Linked DNA regions of Stegostoma tigrinum. The protein of the gene in region 1 purifies or fractionates together with the protein of each later gene. This does not show direct contact. Links are inferred from orthologs where the notes say so. Each region holds a gene or a part of one and is shown in the gene's direction. Other genes may lie near its edges. The genes, in order: usp48, sirt6 and uba6.

Region 1 (6,943 bases):
GTTCTTCTCTCTATACAATAGTAAATAGTAATAGTAAACAACCACAACTTCAAGGCCAAATGCAGCTTGCAGTTGGTAGCACACACCACATATGCTTCTCCAATTACAGGCCAGTTCTCTCCCATATTTGTTGGTAATAGGTAGACAGTTGAACCTATCAGCAGCAAATGCAGATGAGAAAGATCCTGAGATTGGAGAAACAGGGTTTCATAGCTTGTGTATCTCCTATGTATGAGAGTGGGAGATTGAGGTCTCTTGGATTGTGTGACCCTGTGGTGGAATTTTCACAGGTTTCTTGGGTGTGATTCCCCCAACACCTCTGTGTATCTTCATCCCAGGATGGGATTATTTTTGTATCTACTGAATTGCAGAAGTAGGCCACTGTGCATTTGTCACCAACCTCTACTGTCTTCAGTGAACCGGGGAGAATCCTCAGGCCTGCAATGTTTTTGGCTGTTGTCTTGAAGACTACTGGTAAAAGTGACTTTTTGGACAACATCTTTGAGTAGGCAACCTCATTTGTAGCAACTGTGTTGTTATGGTCTTATTTCTTGTGTTGAGAAAAATAAATGATTACGTATTTTAATGAAATCTTATGACAAAGCATGTTTTGTATCCATTCTTGGAAGTCATTGCACACAAGGAGTTAAAACACCTCATCTTTAAAACACACCCTTTTTTGTAGCTAATGGAAAGATGGAACAAAAGGACCCATCCCGCCATCTCTCCCCCAATCATAATAAAGCCCTCGTGGTGATGTCATGCCCACCTTCTAAAAACAAAGGTATTTTCTCCTATACACATAATGCACAATGATTTCAGGATTGTTCCAGTATGTTGACCCAGTGACAGGGCAAGGCCTAGGGAGACAAGATTTTAAATCTAGAAACTTTGGTTTTGTATTTTGCAGTTTAAGATGGTGACAAACTATGGCAACTTTTCGCCATACTTCTGTATTTGGACTTGAATGCATGTTACAACAAAATCTAATTCTAACAATGAAGAAAATGCTGATATCATTCCTCAGTGTGTGGCTTGAAGTGGAATTTCTATTCAGTGGTATTCTATCCGCTGCCCTTGTCCTTCTGGTAGATGTTGCAGGTTTTGAAGGTGCTTTGGTGAGTTGCTACAGCGTACCTGGGCAGATGGCATACACGGCTGCTATTGTACATTGATAGTGGAGGGAGTGAATGCTTGGTGGTGGATTAAGTAGGCCATTTTGTTCTGGATAATTTTGGCATTTCTTGAGTGTTGCTGGACCTGCAATTAAATAATACATCAGCCTAATACTCTTGTTTCTTTTAATATAGATGGTAGACAGGCTCTAGACAGTCAGGAGGTGAGTCACTTTTATCGTAGAATTCTTCTCTCCTGACCTGTTCTTTTGGCTGCAATATTTATGTGCTGGTCCAATTCCGCTTTTGGTCAATGCTAACCCCTATATTATTGATAGTAGAATTAAAACAGGACAATGTCATTGAGTGCAAGGGGCAGATGATTAGATTTCTTCTTGTGGAGATGCTCACTTCCTGGAACTTTAATGCCATTTGTGATATCCCAAGCCTGAATGTTGTCTGGCATATGCTGCACGTGGCACAAACTGCTTAAGTATGTATTGAGTCCCAAATTGAGCTAAACAAGTCGATTAGTCAGTGACCATTTTCAATTGATTTGGCCTTCGACCATCTTGCTTGTTCTGGATATGACTTTAGCTAGTAGAAAGTTGGCTCCCCGATTCCTTTGTCCTCAAATCTTTAATTTCTTGGTGGATTCCCATAGCCAATATAATCAAAGACCCCTCCCACCCTGGTTATAATCTCTTCCAACTTCTTCTGTCAGGCAGAAGATACAAAGGCTTAAACATGCACCAATAGATTCAAGAACAGCTTCTTCCCCGCTGTTATGGGACTTCTGAAGTGGCCTCTAAAATCTTGAATTTAATGTTGATCTCATTCTTTGTGCACCTTCTCTGCAGCTGTAACATTGTGTTCCTTCGTCTTTACTACTACCCTAATGCACTTTGTATGGTATGATATGCCTGTACTGTAAGTAAAACAAAGTTTTCACTATACCTAGGTACATGTGACTATAATAAACCAAATAAAAATCAAAGTCTGTCTTTTTGGTGGAACCAAATGTACTCAGGGTTGCAAATGGAAAAGCCTGAGATATCAGTTGTAAGGTATGATGATTTGATGATTGCAACTGTGAGATTCTTGCTTGCCTAATCTATGGATTAGCATCCCCAGTTTTGTGTCTTCAGAGTTAGGGAGGTACACTTTTAAGGATGACTGGGCTGGGTGTAACTTGTCTGGGATGACGTTGGGCGTATAAGGCTTTACAGTAGATTTGTAGCTTGGGTTGTGGATGTTGTGGTTGGTTGGCTCTCTGAGCTGGTTTGTTGTTCTGTAGATGTTTCGTTACCCTGCTGGGTAACATCATCAGTGCAGCCTCCGATGAAGCGTCGTTGTGTTTTCCCACCTGATATTTAAACTGTGGAGTTTGTTGAGCTAGATTACCTCACTTCTAGTTTTCCTTCAGAATGGAGTGTAGAAAGCCATCAACAAACACAAGGAGCTTGACCCCCATATACACTCCATTCATCGGAGGCTGCACTGATGATGTTACCCAGCAGGTTAATAAAGTGTCTGCACAGCAACAAACCAGCTCAGCGAGCCAACCAACCAACCACAACATGCGGGTGGTCTGTCCTGTTTGGTATTTGATATGTTCAGAGCTTTTGGTACAAGTGATTGCACCAACCCACGGATGCTTTTTGAGGCCTGCGCACGCCTCCCACTACAGTCTTAAATCCTTTACTATTTCTTAATTCTACTAATATTATCGCCATTACCTGCTTACTTCCTGCCATTTGTCCCCCCCCCCTCTCATAGTTGAAGCAACTTCACCCTTAACCACAAAGGCAACACTTTACTATAGTTTTCCCTGGGTTTCCTGTAAATCTTACACTTGCTGTATTTAGTTCTGAGTTGTAGAATCACAGAATGATTACCGCACAAAAGGAATTTGGTCTGATGACTCTGTGCCACCTCCCTATACAGGCAACTGCTCACCTCGTTGGACTAAACTACTCTTCTCCATTGCCTTTTCTTTTGATTGTATTGGTTGCATCAGATCACCCCTTCCCCACCCAAACACTCTTGGGCAGTACATTTCAGACGTGAACTACTTGCTGTGTAAAACATTTTCTATTCTGTTGCCATTTCACTTTTTCCAAACATCTTTTTAAAAAAAGGGCCCCCTGGTTCAATACCAACAAAAACAGTTTGAAACAGTATGTTTCCTATTTGGACACCAAGCCACGTGAATGTGAAAACCGATACGTAGTCTCTCCTCAACTAAGCTCGATTTATGTCACTGAAGTTCATCGTCTCTCCAACTTTTCTCACAAATCTCCTATCTGGCAGCCTAGCCTGTCTCAACTAGAGTTACCATGTCGTTGCTTCTAAGCCGAATTTTGTACCTGAAATTCATCCATCTTGCTCCTTGTGTGCTTACCGCAATCGTGTACAGAATGTTCATCTTAACGTGTCCTGCTCGAAAGGGATAGTGAAAATGAAGTCCAAAATGTGTTATAACATCTTTAGGAGGTTGATTAGAAAGTCTCTACACCACTGTCTGACTAAAGACGATTCAGGGACCGAAATAAGAGCTGATCATGAGTGTTACAATAAAGTTCAGGTGAGTATAATCTGACTGCAACATAATAAAGATACATTTCTACAAGAGCACACTGAGACAGGTTTCCAGCCTGTGTGCCCTACGTCATTACGCGTAGTAGTTATGACATCATTTGGATCTGTGCTCCTGTGTGTTCTACGTCAGGATCCCGGCTGCTTGGCGGTGCGGAGCAGGCCTAGGGCTCGGAGTGAAGGCCGCGGCGGGACCGGACCGGGCCAGGCTAGGCCGGCTTTGGGGGCAGAGTGAACCAGAGAGGCGCGGCGAGCGGACAATCCCCACACCACGGCCGCAGGCTGAGCGGCGCCTATGGCCCCCAAGCAGCAGCTAGAGAAGGCGGCCTGGCAGTGGACTGAGAGCATCAGGCCGGACGAGGTGAAGCAGGAGCATATTGAGCTGGCGTACCGCATCCGCCTCGGTTCCTGCCGCAGGGACGCCCGCAGGTAAGGGCCGGGAGGGAAGGCGGGCGTCGCCGCATTGACCACCGCTTTAGAGCAAGGGGCGGCCCAAGGCGCTAGGTCCATCCTGGTCCGCCCTCACCACCCTCTGAACCATCCCTTCCCCAGCTACACCCCCACAAAATCTCCCTGAATCACCCCGTGCCTCAGCCTTCTCCTTTACTTCCTAACTGTCTGCTCGCTCTTCCACCCGCCCCTCCAATCCCTTGTACCCTTCTCGCCTCCTGACCCTGAACCTCACGTTCCTGTGCACATTTATTACACGGTCATGGTGATGTCAATTAATCAATGTGCAGGCACGTTCTTACTTAGAGGGTGTCTTTCGCCAGTAGCTGATGCCACTTGACCCAGATGTATAGGTGGCTATCTTAACAATCATTATTGGGGCCAATTACTCCAAGAAGCAAATTGCATTTGCTTCACTTTATTTGGTTGTTTGGAATAATGGAGAGCTGGTGAGGAAGGACATGGATGATTACCCTGATTTGTTTACCATGGTGAGGAAACAGATTTTCATGTGTCTCCTTAAAATTTTGATTGCACTGCCTAAGAGGACAGTAGAAGTATATTCAGTCTCAACATTCACATTTAAGAGAATTGAATAAATATTTTACTGGAACTGAGGAAATTTTCATGAGTATGAAGGTAATAAGACAGCTCTGTGGCAGAAGCACGGTAGGCTTCAATAACACCTTTTTTTTTCTGTATTTTGAATTCATTTAAATGGATACATAAAGTGGCTCATTTGACCTGTAAGGTGACATGTTGGCTTGATTTCAGTTTTACACTTTGAGCTTTTCCCTACCTCCCTTGTCTTCTCTGCAATAATAGTTTCTACGCACCCAACTAGTTATCTGTGATGTAAAACTGGATTTCTAAAAAAGTCACGTATTTCTTTCCATCTCTTCGCCTTCTCTACCAACTCCTGCCCCCCCCCCCCCCCCCCTCCCCTCACCCGCCCAAAAGACAATTTAGCAGGCTGTCATTTGAGACTAGTTGTCAATGTCTGACCTGAAGTTTGGAAAATCTGATGCAAGATTATAACTTTTTTAGGGTTACACTACTTGGTGACATTTAAAAGTTATTGCTAACAAAATAATAAATGCAAAATATTGGTGCTTAAGGATAAAATTTTGGAGTTACTTTTAAAGATAACCTTTTCAGAATGGGAGTCTTCTTCTGTTAAGTAATCAGAACAACCAGGTTGACGTCCTGGTATGCTACTCAATGGTGTGTCTGTGTGCAGTACAAATCTTGTTTTATTCAGAGGACAGATTTGCCACCATTAAACGCAATGTGAAAACTGTTCAGTAGCTGTTTAATCCAAGTTGTCTGTCATCTGTAAGGTTGCTACTGACTGGATGTCAGAGAAAAGTAGCTCCCCTCATATATTGGTGCTTGCTGTTGGAAACAATATTGTCATTCTGACAGATTGTTCAGAACCTCAAAGCATTTTGATCTAAATTTGCAGAAAATAAGTTGGGGCAATGAATTCCGAGCAGATAGTAAAACTGTTTATAAAATGTATTAGATAGAAGTTGCAAATTGGTAGAAAAGTAGCCAGTGACCTGATTTTAAATGATACATTTAATCTTTAGTGAAATATTAAAATGAAATAAACTTTTTGTTGAATGTTGCAATTTTGGAGAAATTGGATTGTAACAACTTACATGTATATTTTAATACCTCCAGATTTATAAAAATCGTCAAGGTCCTCTCATGATAAGCAGTCAGAGTTTGAGATATTAGATTAGGTGACCAAATATAAGGAGGATCCTTTTTAGGGAGCACCTTGCAGGAGGAGAGTTAGTTTTGAACGTGGAACAAGAGAATCAGAACTGTAGGTGCACAGTTCTCCGGGTTGTAGAAGCAAATGAGAATGGAAGGACCTACGTGAGATTGTTGACTTGCTCGCTGAGCTGGCTTGTTTTCGTTCTGACATTCTGTCACTGTGCTCAACAACATCTAGGAAGGGATTTGAAGATGATGGTGAGAATTTCAAAAGTGAGCTTTTGTCATACTGGAAGCCAACACAGAAGGGGGGTGGTGCTGTGCAAGAACTGTACAAATTGTTAATAGGCTACAATTTGAGTACCGTGTACAAGCCTGGTCACTTTGTTATAGAAAGAGATGTAATTGCTTTGGTGGAGATTTACAAGATACTGCTGGAATTGGGGAAAATGTAACAGCAAGGAAAGTTTGGATGGTCTGGGCTTATGCACCATGGAATGGGGGAGGCTAATGGGAGATTTGATTGAGATGACCAGTTACTCCAAGAAGCAAAATTGTGATGGGCCTGAATAGAATGAAGGGGAAGCGTCTCTTGCTCTTAGCAGAGAAATCAGTGATTAGTGGGCGTAGGTTTTAAAGTGGTTAGTAGACAGATTTGAGGGAGATGAAGAGATTTTTCCACCCAGAGGGTGGAAGGGAATGGGAACACACTGTAGAAGCAGAAAGGTGACTAGATGCAGTGCAGGCCTATGGACCAAATGCAGGAAAGTCAGAGTAGGCTGGCACAGACATGAAGGGCAAGTCACCTCTTCTTCAGCTGAGAGCCTCTATTCTTGTATAGCTGAGTGACTCCTGGTGATAAAGATGATTAGTGGATTTCTGTATGAGTTAAGATTTGTGTACTTCACTTCTGCTAAACAGGATAGTTTTAAATCCAGATTGTCTGCTTATTACAATGCATTTTTTACACTCAAATATTTGCTGCTCAGCCAAATGTGATTCCTGTCATAAGTTGATTTATCTTACTGCTAGTGTCCCATCTGGCTTATATCTAC
Region 2 (8,005 bases), on another chromosome or scaffold:
GGAATTCTGGTATCAGTGAGTTCTTCCAGCAACATCAAGTGAGAAAGGCAGGCTACTATTGGACAATAGCAGCAGCTTAGGGGCTTGGTTAGGGTTAGGCAAATAACGCGTCATACTTGGGACACGTGCATGGGAAATTTCAGTCGACGCAATGGAGAGAAATGCTCCATGAAAGTCATTGAAAATGACAGTCAACATATGGAAAGATTCAGCCCAAAGTTAACGTTGACAAAAGTCTAACCCTAACTTTCTCTCCGCATAAATGATGATACCTGCTGTGAAGCTCCAGTACTTTCTATTTTTATTTCATATCTCCAACATAACACAGTACTTTGCTTTCAGCCAAATGGGACTAGATTAAGATATCTGATCAGATATCTGGAAGATTTAAACTGAAAAGGGTCTGTTTCTGTGCTATACAATTCTCCGTCTCTGTTAGCTCCTCCCACGGACTGTCACTTGGAGAATCAGTGGGCAATCACACAGACATTCCTCAGTTAACCTCAACTTAGCCTTCTGACATTACTATCACCTTCACTAAACTTAAAGACACAACACATAGGGAAACATTAATTTATTAGACACTGCAGTATTTAAATAACAAAAGACAACACAAATTTAGTTGAAGTTTTTCAAAATAAGTGACACAGTTCTATAGGCAAGAAGCCATTAACCTAACAAACACATTCTGGAGACTGGAGAGGTCACACAATGAGTTTCCATCACAAGCTCGCAAAACTGGAATATTTCAACCAAGCAGTTTCAGTATCACAGATTTAAATTTAATAATTGACATGGTGTTCACTACAATACAGTCCTTGACAATCTTTTTCAGACAGTAACTCCTGTACATATCCAGCCTTGTCGTGGACACTTCATTCATTTGCAAATCATTCATTACCTCAGTGATTTCAAATTTCCCGGGCTCCCAGTTAGCTGTCTGTTCCTTTGTTGACAAGTTTGAAACTGTTCTTCTTTGCAGTCTCTCTCTCTCTGTTTTTACCCTTTCAGACTCACTCATTCTTGCCTGCCTACTTCTCCAGCTCCTCTCTTCCTCTTGCATCCCAATTAATTTCCATTTCTCACCCTCCACCAACCATCCACACTCCTGGCAGCATCTTTGTCCTAAGCACTTCTCACACTATAGCTTCTCCCTCCCATCTCACTTTCAGCCTGCAGGCTCCTCAGCTCTTTCCAGCCCCTTTGGACTACTGCATCTATCCCCATTGTCTCTGCCGACCTCTCCCCAATTACCTGACCTATAGAGATCTCCCCCTCCACACATTGTCCGTCACCTCCCAAACTCCTTTCTCACAGCAACTTGGAATTTTTAAACGCAGATTCATCCACACTCCTGTGTGTTTCGAGCATGTTATAAATTCCAGTCAACACACTTTATGACAGGTGCCAAGTCCGAGGAGAGGTTACAGGAGGGATTTAAGAGAATGGTACCAGGAATAAGGAGCTTCAATTTAATGAAGAGGAGTGGGGTTAATTAATTCAGAGGTGATGATCTGAATGTCTCCTTGCATTCTGCCCCTCTCCTCAGCTCCCCTCAGACCATTCCCTGCCAGTTCATCCCCTACATCGCACTCTCTGTCCATTCTCCCTCGTCAGCCTCCCTCCAGGCCTCCCCAGACCTCTCACCACAGCCCTTCCACTTTCTCTCCATTCCCCTGCCCTCAGACCCATTTCCTCTCTATTCCCACCTCCACTTTCCCCAGCTTCCCGTCTCCTTACTCAGCATCCCCTTCCTCAGACCCTCCCCGGCATTGTACGCCCCCAACTCCGACCCTCCCCAGCATTGCAACGCCCCTCCCCCAACCGTCCCCTAACCCTGCCCACACTGCACCCCCCGTCCCTGACCCTTCCCCTCACTGAGCTCCCCACACCGACCTCCCCAGCATTGCAACCCCCCTCCCCCAACCGTTCTCTGCACTGTGCTCCCATGACTCTCCCCTGCATTACACCTCCCTCCCCAATATTCCCCCACACTGCATCTTCCCCCTCCCTCGATATTCACCAGCATGATCCAGTTCTGCCCCCCTCGACCTTCTCTAGCATTTGTTACCCCCAACCCGACCTTCCCCAACATTGTTCCTCTGCCACGGATCTTCCCCAGCATTGTTCCCCGACCTTCCCCAGCATTGTTCCGCCACCATGAATCTTCCCCAGCATTGTTTCCCCACCATCCAATCTTCCCCGGCATTGTTCGCGCAACATGAACCTTCCCCAGCATGATTACCCACCACCCGACCTTCCCCAGCACTGTTACCCTACCCAACCTTCCTCAGCATTGTTCCCCCACCAAGGACCTTCCCCAGCATTGTTTCCCCACCATGGATCTTCCCCAGCATTGTTACCCCCCCACCCAACCTTCCTCAGCATTGTTCCCCCACCAAGGACCTTCCCCAGCATTGTTCCCCCTCCACCCGACCTTCCCCAGCATTGTTCCCCCTCCACCCGACCTTCCCCAGCATTGTTCCCCCAACACGGACCTTCCCCAGCATTGTTACCCCTCCACCCGACCTTCCCCAGCATTGTTCCCCCAACACGGACCTTCCCCAGCATTGTTACCCCTCCACCCGACCTTCCCCAGCATTGTTCCCCCAACACGGACCTTCCCCAGCATTGATCCCCCAACATGGACCTTCCCAAGCATTGTTCCAACCCCACCTTCCGTAGCATTATGCCCCCCACCCAATCTTCCACAGCATTGGCCTCCACCGACCTTCCTCAGCATTGTTCCCCTCCTCGACCCTCCCCAGCATTGCTCCCCTCAGTTCCGTTGCACCCCCGCTTCCCCAGCACTGTTGACCCCCAGCCTCGTTCACCCCCTGCCCCCCCCCCCAGCCTCGTTCACCCCCTGCCCCCCCCCCCAGCCTCGTTCACCCCCTGCCCCCCCCCCCAGCCTCGTTCACCCCCTGCCCCCCCCCCAGCCTCGTTCACCCCCTGCCCTGCCCCGCCCCCCAGCCTCGTTCACCCCCTGCCCCCCCCCCAGCCTCGTTCACCCCCTGCCCCCCCCCCCAGCCTCGTTCACCCCCTGCCCCCCCCCCCCAGCCTCGTTCACCCCCCAGCCTCGTTCACCCCCTGCCCCCCCCCCCCAGCCTCGTTCACCCCACCCAATCTTCCACAGCATTGGCCTCCACCGACCTTCCTCAGCATTGTTCCCCTCCTCGACCCTCCCCAGCATTGCTCCCCTCAGTTCCGTTGCACCCCCGCTTCCCCAGCACTGTTGACCCCCAGCCTCGTTCACCCCCTGCCCCCCCCCCCAGCCTCGTTCACCCCCTGCCCCCCCCCCCCCGCCTCGTTCACCCCCTGCCCCCCCCCCCCCCCCCGCCTCGTTCACCCCCTGCCCCCCCCCCCCCCCCCCGCCTCGTTCACCCCCTGCCCCCCCCCCCCCCGCCTCGTTCACCCCCTGCCCCCCCCCCCGCCTCGTTCACCCCCTGCCCCCCCCCCCCCCGCCTCGTTCACCCCCTGCCCCCCCCCCCGCCTCGTTCACCCCCTGCCCCCCCCCCCCGCCTCGTTCACCCCCTGCCCCGTTCACCCCCTGCCCCCCCCCCCCGCCTCGTTCACCCCCTGCCCCCCCCCCCCCCCCCGCCTCGTTCACCCCCCCACCCCCCCCGCCTCGTTCACCCCCTGCCCCCCCCCCCCCCCCGCCTCGTTCACCCCCTGCCCCCCCCCCCCCCCCCGCCTCGTTCACCCCCTGCCCCCCCCCCCCCGCCTCGTTCACCCCCTGCCCCCCCCCCCGCCTCGTTCACACCCCCTGCCCCCCCCCCCCCCGCCTCGTTCACCCCCTGCCCCCCCCCCGCCTCGTTCACCCCCTGCCCCCCCCCCCCGCCTCGTTCACCCCCTGCCCCGTTCACCCCCTGCCCCCCCCCCCCCGCCTCGTTCACCCCCTGCCCCCCCCCCCCCCCCCGCCTCGTTCACCCCCTGCCCCCCCCCGCCTCGTTCACCCCCTGCCCCCCCCCCCCCCCCGCCTCGTTCACCCCCCTGCCCCCCCCCCCCCCCCCCCGCCTCGTTCACCCCCTGCCCCCCCCCCCCCCCCCCCCGCCTCGTTCACCCCCTGCCCCCCCCCCCCCCCCCCCGCCTCGTTCACCCCCTGCCCCCCCCCCCCCCCCCCCCGCCTCGTTCACCCCCTGCCCCCCCCCCCCCCCCCGCCTCGTTCACCCCCTGCCCCCCCCCCCCCCCCCCGCCTCGTTCACCCCCTGCCCCCCCCCCCCCCCCCCGCCTCGTTCACCCCCTGCCCCCCCCCCCCCCCCCCCCCCGCCTCGTTCACCCCCTGCCCCCCCCCCCCCGCCCCCCCCGCCTCGTTCACCCCCTGCCCCCCCCCCCCCCCCCCCCGCCTCGTTCACCCCCTGCCCCCCCCCCCCCCCCCCCCCGCCTCGTTCACCCCCTGCCCCCCCCCCCCCCCCCCCGCCTCGTTCACCCCCTGCCCCCCCCCGCCTCGTTCACCCCCTGCCCCCCCCCCAGCCTCGTTCACCCCCTGCCCCCCCCCCAGCCTCGTTCACCCCCTGCCCCCCCCCCAGCCTCGTTCACCCCCTGCCCCCCCCCCAGCCTCGTTCACCCCCTGCCCCCCCCCCAGCCTCGTTCACCCCCTGCCCCCCCCCCAGCCTCGTTCACCCCCTGCCCCCCCCCCAGCCTTGTTCACCCCCTGCCTTTTTCACTCCCCCAGCCTTGTGCACACGCGCATTGCTCCCCCTCATGACCTTCCCCAGCATTGCTTCCCTCCAGCACTGTCACCCCACCCCCAGCACTGTTCTCCTCTCGCTCTCGCACCCAGCACCATCCCCGTTTCTCTGTCCGGTCCCTCCTACTCCATGCCCATTCCGACCTGCGCCTCCCACCCGCCTCTCCTCCCCCGAAGCTACCTATCACCTGTTCTGTAGCGCCCTCTGGCCTCCGGGAGGTCCTGCCTGCACGGCCTGGTGACGTCACGCAGGCCCCTGCCCGGGTTGTTGTGCTGGAGCCATGTCCGTGAACTACGCGGCCGGACTGTCTGAGTACGAACACAAGGGCAAGTGTGGCCTTCCGGAGGTAAGAGGCTGTGCCGCTTAGATGTCGTTGCAGGGGGAAAAGGATTCCGGGCCTGTCCTTGGATAGGCTCGCATCCTGGGGAGGCGCCGGGGTCATGAGACCTCGGCGTCCAGCTCCGGACTGGGGCCTTCGTTAGAGACTGTTTGGCCGGGACCCCCAGAGGAACGGGAAGAGGAGGCGAAGATCAGTGAGGGAGGGCAGGCGGGGATGCGGGAGGGGGTGAAGGAGAAAAGGACCGAGGAGATTCCACTGTGTGGGGACCCTCTTAACGTTGGAGGCGGCCGTGGATTGGGAGAGGGAGGTTGCTAGTGATGGTGGACATCACAGATGTCCCTGTAAGGGTTTGGTTTCATTGCTTTATTAATCTGAAAGAGAACGATCTATGTTACATGGATATATATTCTGGAGTACCAAGAGATTAGCAAATGAAATTAGAGTATGTAGTATTGGGGATGGGTGGGAATAAAATAATTTGGATGGAAAATGGCTTAATAGAAGGCTGAAGAGTAAGCAGAGATAATGGGAACTACAGGTGCTGGAGAATCCAAGATAACAAAGTGTGGAGTTGGATGAACACAGCAGGCCAAGCATATTAAGCAGATGTTCACCTACACAACTGCCAACGTGGTATACTGTATCCACTGTACCCGGTGTGGCTACCTCTACATTGTGGAAACCAAGCGGAGTCTTGGGGACCGCTTTGCAGAACACCTCCGCTCAGTTCGCAATAAATAACTGCACCTCCCAGTTGCAAACCATTTTAACTCCCCCTCCCATTCCTCACACAAAATTTCCATCATGGGGCTCCTGCAGTGCCACAATGATGCCAACCGAAGTTTGCAGGAACAGCAACTCATATTCCGCTTGGGAACCCTGCAGCCGGATGGTATCAATGTTGACTTCACAAGCTTCAAAATCTCCCCCTCCCCGACTGCATCCCGAAACCAGCCCAGCTCGTCCCCTCCCCCCACTGCATCACAAAACCAGCCCAGCTCGTTCCCCGCCTCCCTAACCTGTTCTTCCTCTCACCTACCCCTCCTCTCACTTCAAGCCGCACCTCCATTTCCCATCTACCAATCTCATCCCACCTCCTTGACCTGTCTGTCCTTCCTGGACTGACCTATACCCTCCCCACCTATACTCTCCTCTCCACCTATCTTCTCCTCTATCCATCTTCAGTCTGCCTTCCTCCCCCCTCCCTATTTATTTCAGAACCCTCTCCCCATCCCCCTCTCTGATGAAGGGTCTAGGCCCGAAACGTCAGCTTTTGAGCTCCTAAGGTGCTGCTTGGTCTGCTGTGTTCATCCACACTTTGTTATTTGGATATGGGGACCAGTTTCAATGTTTCCAAATTTGCTCATGATGCTGAATGTAATGAAAATGTAAGTTGTGTGAAGCCTTCAAGGGAATTTCGACAATCTAAGCGAACATGCCAGATGGAATATAGTAGAACTTTATGAAAGTATTGAGTTTGATTGAAAAGCTGAAAGGCAGGATGATCATTATGTGATTGGGAAGGAGTGATCTAGGTATCTTTGGTTACTAAGAGCTAGCATGCTGGTGAAACAAGTATTTTAAAAGCAAATAGAATATTAGTCTTCATAACAAATAAACTTAAGGACAAAAGCAAAGTAAAACTAAAAGAACTGCAGATGCTGTAAATCAGGAACAAAAAGAGAAGTTGTTGGAAGCTCAGCAAGTCTAGCAGCATGTGTGAAGAAAAATGAGAGTCATCGTTTTGGGTCCAGTCTGAGGAAGGGCCACTGGACCCAAAACATTAACAATAGTAAAAATGTCTTCCTGCTATTTTATGGAGCCTTGGCATGTACACACCCTGGTTATTGTGTACAGTTCTGTTTGGCTTTTCTACGTAAAGTAAATCCTTCCTTAGATGTGCAATAGAGGTTAACCTGATTAATTGTTGCAATGGTGGGATTGTTTTATGAAGAGAGCCTGCAGAAACAGGATCTTTAGTCCCTAGAGTTTGAAGGGATGAGAGGTGATTTCTTTCAAATTCACAAAATAAATTACAGGGCACGGCATTGTTGCTATAGAGAGGATGCTCCCTCTGCCTGATGAGTCCAAAATCAGAGGATGTTATCTCAAATAGGGGGCAGGCCAAATAAGATTGAGATGAGGAGCACTTTTTTTTCCACTGACAATGTTGGATCTTTGGAATTCTCTTCCCCAGAGTCATTGAGCAGTTTAAAGCAGAAATCGATTTCTGAAAACTGGCATTGTGTGGAAAAGTAACACCTCTGTAGATAATTGGTCATGATTGAGTTGATTGGCAGAGCAGTCTTAGTTGACTGACTGATCTACTCCTGTTCCTCTGTCACATTTCACTTCTGCACTGCAGTTACATTGCAAAGTAACAATGTATTGGTCGCAGTCCGCTATGGAGAGCAGCAAAAAATGCACTCAGTGAAACACTAGTACTGATCTAAAGTGAGATTATTTTAATTTACTGGCACTGGAATGCATGACATGGTGGCAGTGGTTGTTTGTTAGTGAAAACTGAAATATTTTAAATGAATTTTGTGCTGAATTAATTGGAAGAAGAAGTCATCCTACATTTGTACCAGAGTGTGTGGAAAAACTAAATTGTTGTCAGAAAACGGAATGGCTGTAACAGCAACGATATGGGTGGCATTCAAACTTCAATTAAATGTGCCCCATTTGAAGATGCATCTGAGAAATTTGAACGAAAGTGCAGACTGATATTCAGCACCTCTCTAAAGGCACTAGCAAAAATGAAGGAACCTGCAGGCAGGAGAGAAAGGTTAAATTGTTTAATAGTTGAAGATTGAGGATGACAGCAGAAACCCCAACACAATTTTTTTTAGATTTGGCATGTATTTTTATCCGGAGTCAAAACATTGGATTTATCAGTGTGAATTTAAGGCCCGAGACAGAATCTGATGAGCATACTGACAATTTCCTAACAAAACTGAGGTAGGAGATAGGG
Region 3 (7,876 bases), on another chromosome or scaffold:
CTCTCTTCATAAGATAAGCCCTCCAGTCCAGGCAGCATCCTGGTAAACCTCCTCTGAACCCTCTCCAAAGCATCCACATCTTTCCTATAATAGGGTGCCCAGAACTGGACGCAGTATTCCAAGTGCGGTCTAACCAAAGTTTTATAGAGCTGCAACAAGATCTCACGACTCTTAAACTCAATCCCCCTGTTAATGAAAGCCAAAACACCATATGCTTTCTTAACAACCCTGTCCACTTGGGTGGCCATTTTAAGGGATCTATGTATCTGCACACCAAGATCCCTCTGTTCCTCCACGCTGCCAAGAATCCTATCCTTAATCCTGTACTCAGCTTTCAAATTCGACCTTCCAAAATGCATCACCTCGCATTTATCCAGGTTGAACTCCAACTGCCACCTCTCAGCCCATCTCTGCATCCTGTCAATGTCCCGCTGCAGCCTACAACAGCCCTCTACACTGTCAACGACACCTCCGACCTTTGTGTCGTCTGCAAACTTGCTGACCCATCCTTCAATTCCCTTGTCTAAGTCATTAATAAAAATTACAAACAGTAGAGGCCCAAGGACAGAGCCCTGTGGAACCCCACTCACCACTGACTTCCAGGCAGAATATTTTCCTTCTACTACCACTCGCTGTCTTCTGTTGGCCAGCCAATTCTGTATCCAAGCAGCTAAGTTCCCCTGTATCCCATTCTTCCTGACCTTCTGAATGAGCCTACCATGGGGAACCTTATCAAATGCCTTACTGAAGTCCATATACACCACATCCACAGCTCGACCCTCATCAACTTTTCTAGTCACATCCTCAAAAAACTCGATAAGGTTTGTAAGGCATGACCTACCCCTCACAAAGCCGTGTTGACTGTATTTGATCAAGCCATGCTCTTCCAGATGGTCATAAATCTTATCCCTCAGAATCCTTTCTAACACCTTGCAGACGACAGACGTGAGACTTACCGGTCTATAATTGCCGGGGATTTCCCTATTTCCTTTCTTGAAGAGAGGAATTACATTTGCCTCTCTCCAGTCCTCAGGTACGACTCCAGTGGAGAGCGAGGATGCAAAGATCTTCGCAAGTGGCGAAGCAATTGCATTTCTCGCTTCCCAAAGCAGCCGAGGACAAATCTGATCCGGGCCTGGCGACTTGTCAATCTTAATGTTTGACAAAATTTTCAGCACATCAGCTTCGTCTATCTCTATCCATTCCAGCATGCACACCTGCTCTTCAAAGGTTTCATTCACTACAAAGTTCGTTTCTTTCGTAAAGACAGAAGCAAAAAACTCATTTAGGGCTTCCCCTACCTCCTCAGGCTCCACACACAAGTTCCCTATGCTATCCCTGATCGGCCCTACTCTTTCTTTGACCATTCTCTTATTCCTCACGTAAGTGTAAAATGCCTTTGTGTTTTCCCGGATTCCTTCTGCCAAGCCTTTCTCGTGCCCCCTCCTGGCTCTCCTCAGACCATTTTTGAGCTCCTTCCTTGCCTGCATGTAATCCTCTCTAGCTGAACTTGACCCTAGCTTCCTCCACCTTATGTAAGCTACCTTCTTCCTTTTCACTAGAAGCTCCACCGCTCTCGTCATCCAAGGTTCCTTAATCTTACCCCTTCTTGCCTGTCTCAGAGGGACATATTTACTCATCACTCCCAACAACTGTTCCTTAAACCGTCTCCACATGTCTATAGTTCCCTTACCATGGAACAACTGCTCCCAGTCCATGCTTCCTAACTCATGTCTAATTGCATCATAGTTTCCTCTTCCCCAATTAAATATCCTCCCATTCTGCCTAATCCTCTCCTACTCCATAGCTATGTAGAATGTGAGGCAGTTATGGTCACTATCACCAAAATGCTCTCCCACCACAAGATCTGATACCTACCCCGGCTCGTTTCCGAGCACCAAGTCTAGAATGGCCTCTCCCCTCGTCGGCCTGTCAACGTACTGCGTTAGGAAACCCTCCTGAACACACCTTACAAAAACAGCTCCATTCAAATCTTCTGCTCAAAGGAGGTTCCAATCAATATTAGGAAAGTTAAAGTCACCCATTACAACAACCCTACTGCGTGCACACTTTTCCAAAATCTGTCGACCTATGCTTTCTTCAATCTCCCTGCTGCTATTGGGGGGCCTGTAGTAAACCCCTAACGAGGTGACTACTCCCTTGCTGTTCCTAATTTCCACCCATACTGACTCAGTAGGCAGATCTTCCTCGACAAAGGAAGCTTCTGTAGCTGTGATACCCTCTCTGATTAGTAGTGCTACACCCCCTCCTCTTTTTCCCCCCTCCCTATTCTTTTTAAATGTTCTAAACCCTGGAACATCCAGCAACCATTCCTGCCCATGAGAAACCCATGTCTCTGTTATGGCCACAACATCATAGCACCAGGTACTGATCCATGCTCTAAGTTCATCACTTTTCTGCCCTGCTTTCATCAATCTTGTCACTTTTTCAAAAAACATATTAAGTTAGTGAGACATAATTTCCCACACACAATTTCCCACACACAAAGCCACCCCGACTATCCATAATCAGCCCTTACCTTTCCAAATGCATGTAAATCCTGTACCTCAGAATCCCCTCCAACAACTTGCCCACCATTGATATCAGACTCACCCGTCTATAGTTCTCTGGCTTTTCTTTACCACCTTTCTTAAATAATGGCACCACATTAGCCAATCTTCCAGAACATCACCCATTGTTATATCTCAACCAGGTGTTTCCCACAATATTCTGGGATACATCTGATCAGGTCCTGGGACTTATCCACCTATATGAATGTTAAGATTTCTAGTATCTCCTCTTCTGTAATTTGGGCACTTCTCAAGATATTACTATTTATAAAGCTGCCTCATGTCCCTATTTTCTCTCCTGATTTCTCCCTTAAATATATTCCTACTGTTCTTATACACCTCTTGGGAATCATTCAATCCTGGGTGTCTATACCTGCCATATGCCTCCATCTTTTTCTTGATCAGAGCCTCAATTTCTCCAGTCATCCAGCATTTCCTGCACCCACCAGCCTTGGAATATAGAAGAATGAAAGCCAACCTTATTGAGACAGACAAAAACTCTTAGAGGATTTCACAGTGTTGCCTGCAAAATCTTCTATACATACGCATCAACTAATTCATCCCTGATAAAATGCATTTACCTAGGTGCTCTTACTAGATAAGACAAACAAAAGAGTATAGTTCTAACTTAATTTTAGTAAATTACTTGCAAGTTAAAGAACTCTTACACAAATTAAAGTTAACTTTCCCAAACTGGGCCAACTGTTGGAGAGTTATGATATTGCCAATTATGTTTCAACAAAATTGACCTGCTGCTGATGGTACTGCAATAACATGGATACCTGTTAGAATTATTTAAAATCCATCACATTTAGTTTTCTCATGTAGTCAAAATAACCAGGCTTTTACTAGCAGATCCTTCTACCAATATTATATCTTTTGAATCCTACAAGTTAAAAATAATGAGTTCAACTCAAATTCTGGAACTTCATCCAGTGTTGTTCCTTCAAATTTCCATGTGGTGAATAGATTAATACTTTTTTTTGTTGCTTGGCATGACTGTAGCGCAGCAGTGATGTGGTCACCTCAATATTTCCTGAATCTTTACGGAAAATGTAATGATACAACATATGATACTGCCGCTGTTATTATTCAGACATTGAAGATAACGGGAAGAACTAATTCAAAACTAAACACTTCCTCAAGCAATTTGGAAATGTGCAGAAGTTAGAGATTTTTAATTTTTTTTCAAAAATCTAGAGACAAAATGAAAAGAAGCATTTGACAGAGGTAGTTGTAATAATTTGGACTGTATGATCTCAAAGTGAAAGAATCAGATTCCATAGCATCACATCTTCCGATTGGACACCCTACAACTTTTAGGATTCAATATCAAATAATAATTATACAACCTGAACACCTTCTTCCATGTCCTTCATCCACCCTCAACACCTCAGGCCCAATCATGAAATGGGGTTCTTTCAGCACAGCCAACACATTTTTCACTGTCTTTTGGTCCCCAATATCAGTTTTTCTTTCTTCTTATGGACTATCATTCCATCCCTTTATCTCCAGAACTTTCATTCTCTCCCTTTCTGGGCTCCATCTCTGCCTATCTGCTCACTCAGATACCCTCAGCATTTATTATACATTACTCCTTTCCCTGGAGTAAATCAGTTCTGGAGAAGGATAACTAGACTCGAAATGTTGACTCTGGTCTCTGTCCACAGATGCAGCAGGACCTGCTGAGTTCCTCCAGCAACATCTGTATTTCTCTCAGGTTACAGAGTTAATGTCCAAATGGAAATATGTTAGAGGGATTGCTTGGTAGAACGAGTGTGAGTACATTAAATGGACAGGATTAGTTTCCTGAGATAACACAGAATGGACCTGGAGGAACAGAGCAGGCCAGGCAGCATCAGACGATATTTTCTGAAAGGGTCCCAACCCGAAATGTCAACTTTCTGGAAGGGTCCCAACGCAAAATGTCAACTTTCACCCAAAATGTCAACTTTCTGGAAGGGTCCCAACGCAAAATGTCAACTTTCTGGAAAGGTCCCAACCTGAAATGTGAACGATCTGATGCTGCCTGGCCTACTGTGTTGTCTCTGGCTCCAGCATCTGCAGTTCTTTCTATTCCTAAAGGAGTAAATTCCTGTTGTGTATGGTGCTAGCTATTTGCTTGTACTCTGAACAGTGAATGAATGTCATTGACCATCTCTGCAATGCTGCAGGTAACTCCCAACCCGTGACAGGACACGGCAGCTGGCCCGGAAGTGTTTGCGGCTGCGCGGGGCGGGGTGAAAGGTCACCGTTTCAGTTAGGATCCGCTCGGGCTGACGGCGCGGTCTTGAGGCCTGTCGGTGAAGGCCGCATCACCACCGCCATCTCTATCTCCATCTCTGGGAGGCTGATGCAGCTGCGTGCTTCCCGTGTTCACCCACAGAGTGCCCCGAGCCGCTCACTCTGTCCTCACAGGTCCCGAGCATCACGGTGAGTAAGCAAAGCACGCACGGAAGGGAAGGTGGGTACCGCCGGCGGCACCGGTAACCAGCTGACACTCACCGCGGCACGGTCTGTGTAATCTTCCGCCCCCCCCCCCCCCCCCCCCCGTCACTGACTGCGGCACGGTCTGTGTAACCCCCCCCCCCCCCGTCACTCACCGCGGCACGGTCTGTGTAATCTTCCGCCCCCCCCCCCCCCCCGTCACTGACTGCGGCACGGTCTGTGTAATCTTCCGCCCCCCCCCGCCCCGTCACTGACTGCGGCACGGTCTGTGTAACCCCCCCCGTCACTGACTGCGGCACGGTCTGTGTAACCCTCCGCCCCCCCCCCGTCACTGACCGCGGCACGGTCTGTGTAACCCTCCCCCCTGTCACTGACTGTGGCACGATCTGTGTAACCCCCCCCCCCCCCCCCCCGTCACTCACCGCGGCACGGTCTGTGTAAGCCCCCTTCTCCACCCCCCCCCCCGTAACTGACCGCGACACAGTCTGTGTTAACCCCCCCGTCACTGACCGCGACACAGTCTGTGTTACCCCCCCCGTCACTGACCGCGACACAGTCTGTGTTAACCCCCCCCCCGTCACTGACCGCGACACAGTCTGTGTTAACCCCCCCCCCCACCCCGTCACTGACCACAGCACGGTCTGTGTAAGCCCCCTTCTCCACCCCCCCCCGTCACTGACCGCGACACAGTCTGTGTTAACCCCCCCCGTCACTGACCGCGACACAGTCTGTGTAAGCCTCCCCCGTAACTGACCGCGACACAGTCTGTGTTAACCCCCCCCCGTAACTGACCGCGACACAGTCTGTGTTAACCCCCCCCCGTAACTGACCGCGACACAGTCTGTGTTAACCCCCCCGTCACTGACCGCGACACAGTCTGTGTAAGCCTCCCCCGTCACTGACCGCGACACAGTCTGTGTAAGCCTCCCCCGTAACTGACCGCGACACAGTCTGTGTTAATCCCCCCCGTAACTGACCGCGACACAGTCTGTGTTAACCCCCCCCCGTAACTGACCGCGACACAGTCTGTGTTAACCCCCCCCCGTAACTGACCGCGACACAGTCTGTGTAAGCCTCCCCCGTAACTGACCACGACACAGTTTGCGTAACCCCCCCCCTCACTGTCCGCAGTGCAGTCTGTGTATACCCCCTTGTCACTGAAAGTGGCAGGGTCTGTGTAAACCTGCCATCGCACTGACCACGGCGCGGTCTGCAAAAACCCCCCCATCACACTGACCACGGCGCGGTCTGCAAAAACCCCCCCATCACACTGACCACGGCGCGGTCTGCAAAAACCCCCCCATCACACTGACCACGGCGCGGTCTGCAAAAACCCCCCCATCACACTGACCACGGCGCGGTCTGCAAAAACCCCCCCATCACACTGACCACGGCGCGGTCTGCAAAAACCCCCCCATCAGACTGACCACTGCACGGTCAGTGTCAACTCCCTCCAACACACTGACAGTGGCACAGTCTGTATAAGCCTCCTCAGACTGACTGCTACATGGTCAGTGTGTACCCCCCTCAGACTGACAGTAGTGTGGTCTGTGCAAGCCCCTTTACCCCAACTCCCACTGACTGCAGCACGGTCTGTGTAAGCCCCCCTGACACTGGCCGCAGCACGGTCTGTGTAAACATCCCCTCACGCTGACGGCAACACAGTCTGTGTAAACCACTCCCTCACACTGACTGCAACACTGTCTGTGTAAACCACTCCCTCACACTGACTGCGACACTGTCTGTGTAAACCACTCCCTCACGCTGACTGCGACACTGTCTGTGTAAACCACTCCCTCACGCTGACTGCAACACTGTCTGTGTAAACCACTCCCTCACACTGACTGCGACACTGTCTGTGTAAACCACTCCCTCACGCTGACTGCGACACTGTCTGTGTAAACCACTCCCTCACGCTGACTGCGACACTGTCTGTGTAAACCACTCCCTCACACTGACTGCGACACTGTCTGTGTAAACCACTCCCTCACACTGACGGCAACACTGTCTGTGTAAACCACTCCCTCACACTGACTGCAACACTGTCATTGTAAACCACTCCCTCACACTGACTGCAACACTGTCTGTGTAAACCACTCCCTCACACTGACTGCAACACTGTCTGTGTAAACCACTCCCTCACACTGACTGCAACACTGTCTGTGTAAACCACTCCCTCACACTGACTGCAACACTGTCTGTGTAAACCACTCCCTCACACTGACTGCAACACTGTGTAAACCACTCCCTCACACTGACTGCAACACTGTCTGTGTAAACCACTCCCTCACACTGACTGCAACACTGTCTGTGTAAACCACTCCCTCACACTGACTGCAACACTGTCTGTGTAAACCACTCCCTCACACTGACTGCAACACTGTCTGTGTAAACCACTCCCTCACACTGACTGCAACACTGTCTGTGTAAACCACTCCCTCACACTGACTGCAGCACTGTCTGTGTAAACCACTCCCTCACACTGACGGCAACACAGTCTGTGTAAACCACTCCCTCACACTGACTGCAACACTGTCTGTGTAAACCACTCCCTCACACTGACTGCAACACAGTCTGTGTAAACCACTCCCTCACACTGACTCCAACACAGTCTGTGTAAACCACTCCCTCACACTGACTGCAACACTGTCTGTGTAAACCACTCCCTCACACTGACGGCAACACAGTCTGTGTAAACCACTCCCTCACACTGACTGCAACATTGTCTGTGTAAACCACTCCCTCACACTGACTGCAACACAGTCTGTGTAAACCACTCCCTCACACTGACTGCAGCACTGTCTGTGTAAACCACTCCCTCACACTGACTGCAACACTGTGTGTAAACCACTCCCTCA

The links.
Region 2: the proteins of usp48 (region 1) and sirt6 purify together in Homo sapiens (affinity purification with mass spectrometry; 3 studies listed by BioGRID, with this or other methods). This does not show direct contact. The link is inferred for Stegostoma tigrinum from reciprocal best matches to the Homo sapiens genes USP48 and SIRT6.
Region 3: the proteins of usp48 (region 1) and uba6 fractionate together in Homo sapiens (co-fractionation; 3 studies listed by BioGRID, with this or other methods). This does not show direct contact. The link is inferred for Stegostoma tigrinum from reciprocal best matches to the Homo sapiens genes USP48 and UBA6.

The regions. Positions count from the first base shown.
Region 1 is NC_081381.1:45,487,459-45,494,401, forward strand, and holds the start of usp48 (ubiquitin carboxyl-terminal hydrolase 48), read left to right. Parts: upstream 1-3,843; 5' UTR 3,844-4,008; coding exon 4,009-4,142; intron 4,143-6,943.
Region 2 is NC_081383.1:37,838,444-37,846,448, reverse strand, and holds the start of sirt6 (NAD-dependent protein deacetylase sirtuin-6), read left to right. Parts: upstream 1-4,914; 5' UTR 4,915-4,971; coding exon 4,972-5,037; intron 5,038-8,005. UniProt on the Homo sapiens protein: NAD-dependent protein deacetylase, deacylase and mono-ADP-ribosyltransferase that plays an essential role in DNA damage repair, telomere maintenance, metabolic homeostasis, inflammation, tumorigenesis and aging.
Region 3 is NC_081356.1:17,087,750-17,095,625, reverse strand, and holds the start of uba6 (ubiquitin-like modifier-activating enzyme 6), read left to right. Parts: upstream 1-4,816; 5' UTR 4,817-5,003; intron 5,004-7,876. UniProt on the Homo sapiens protein: Activates ubiquitin by first adenylating its C-terminal glycine residue with ATP, and thereafter linking this residue to the side chain of a cysteine residue in E1, yielding a ubiquitin-E1 thioester and free AMP.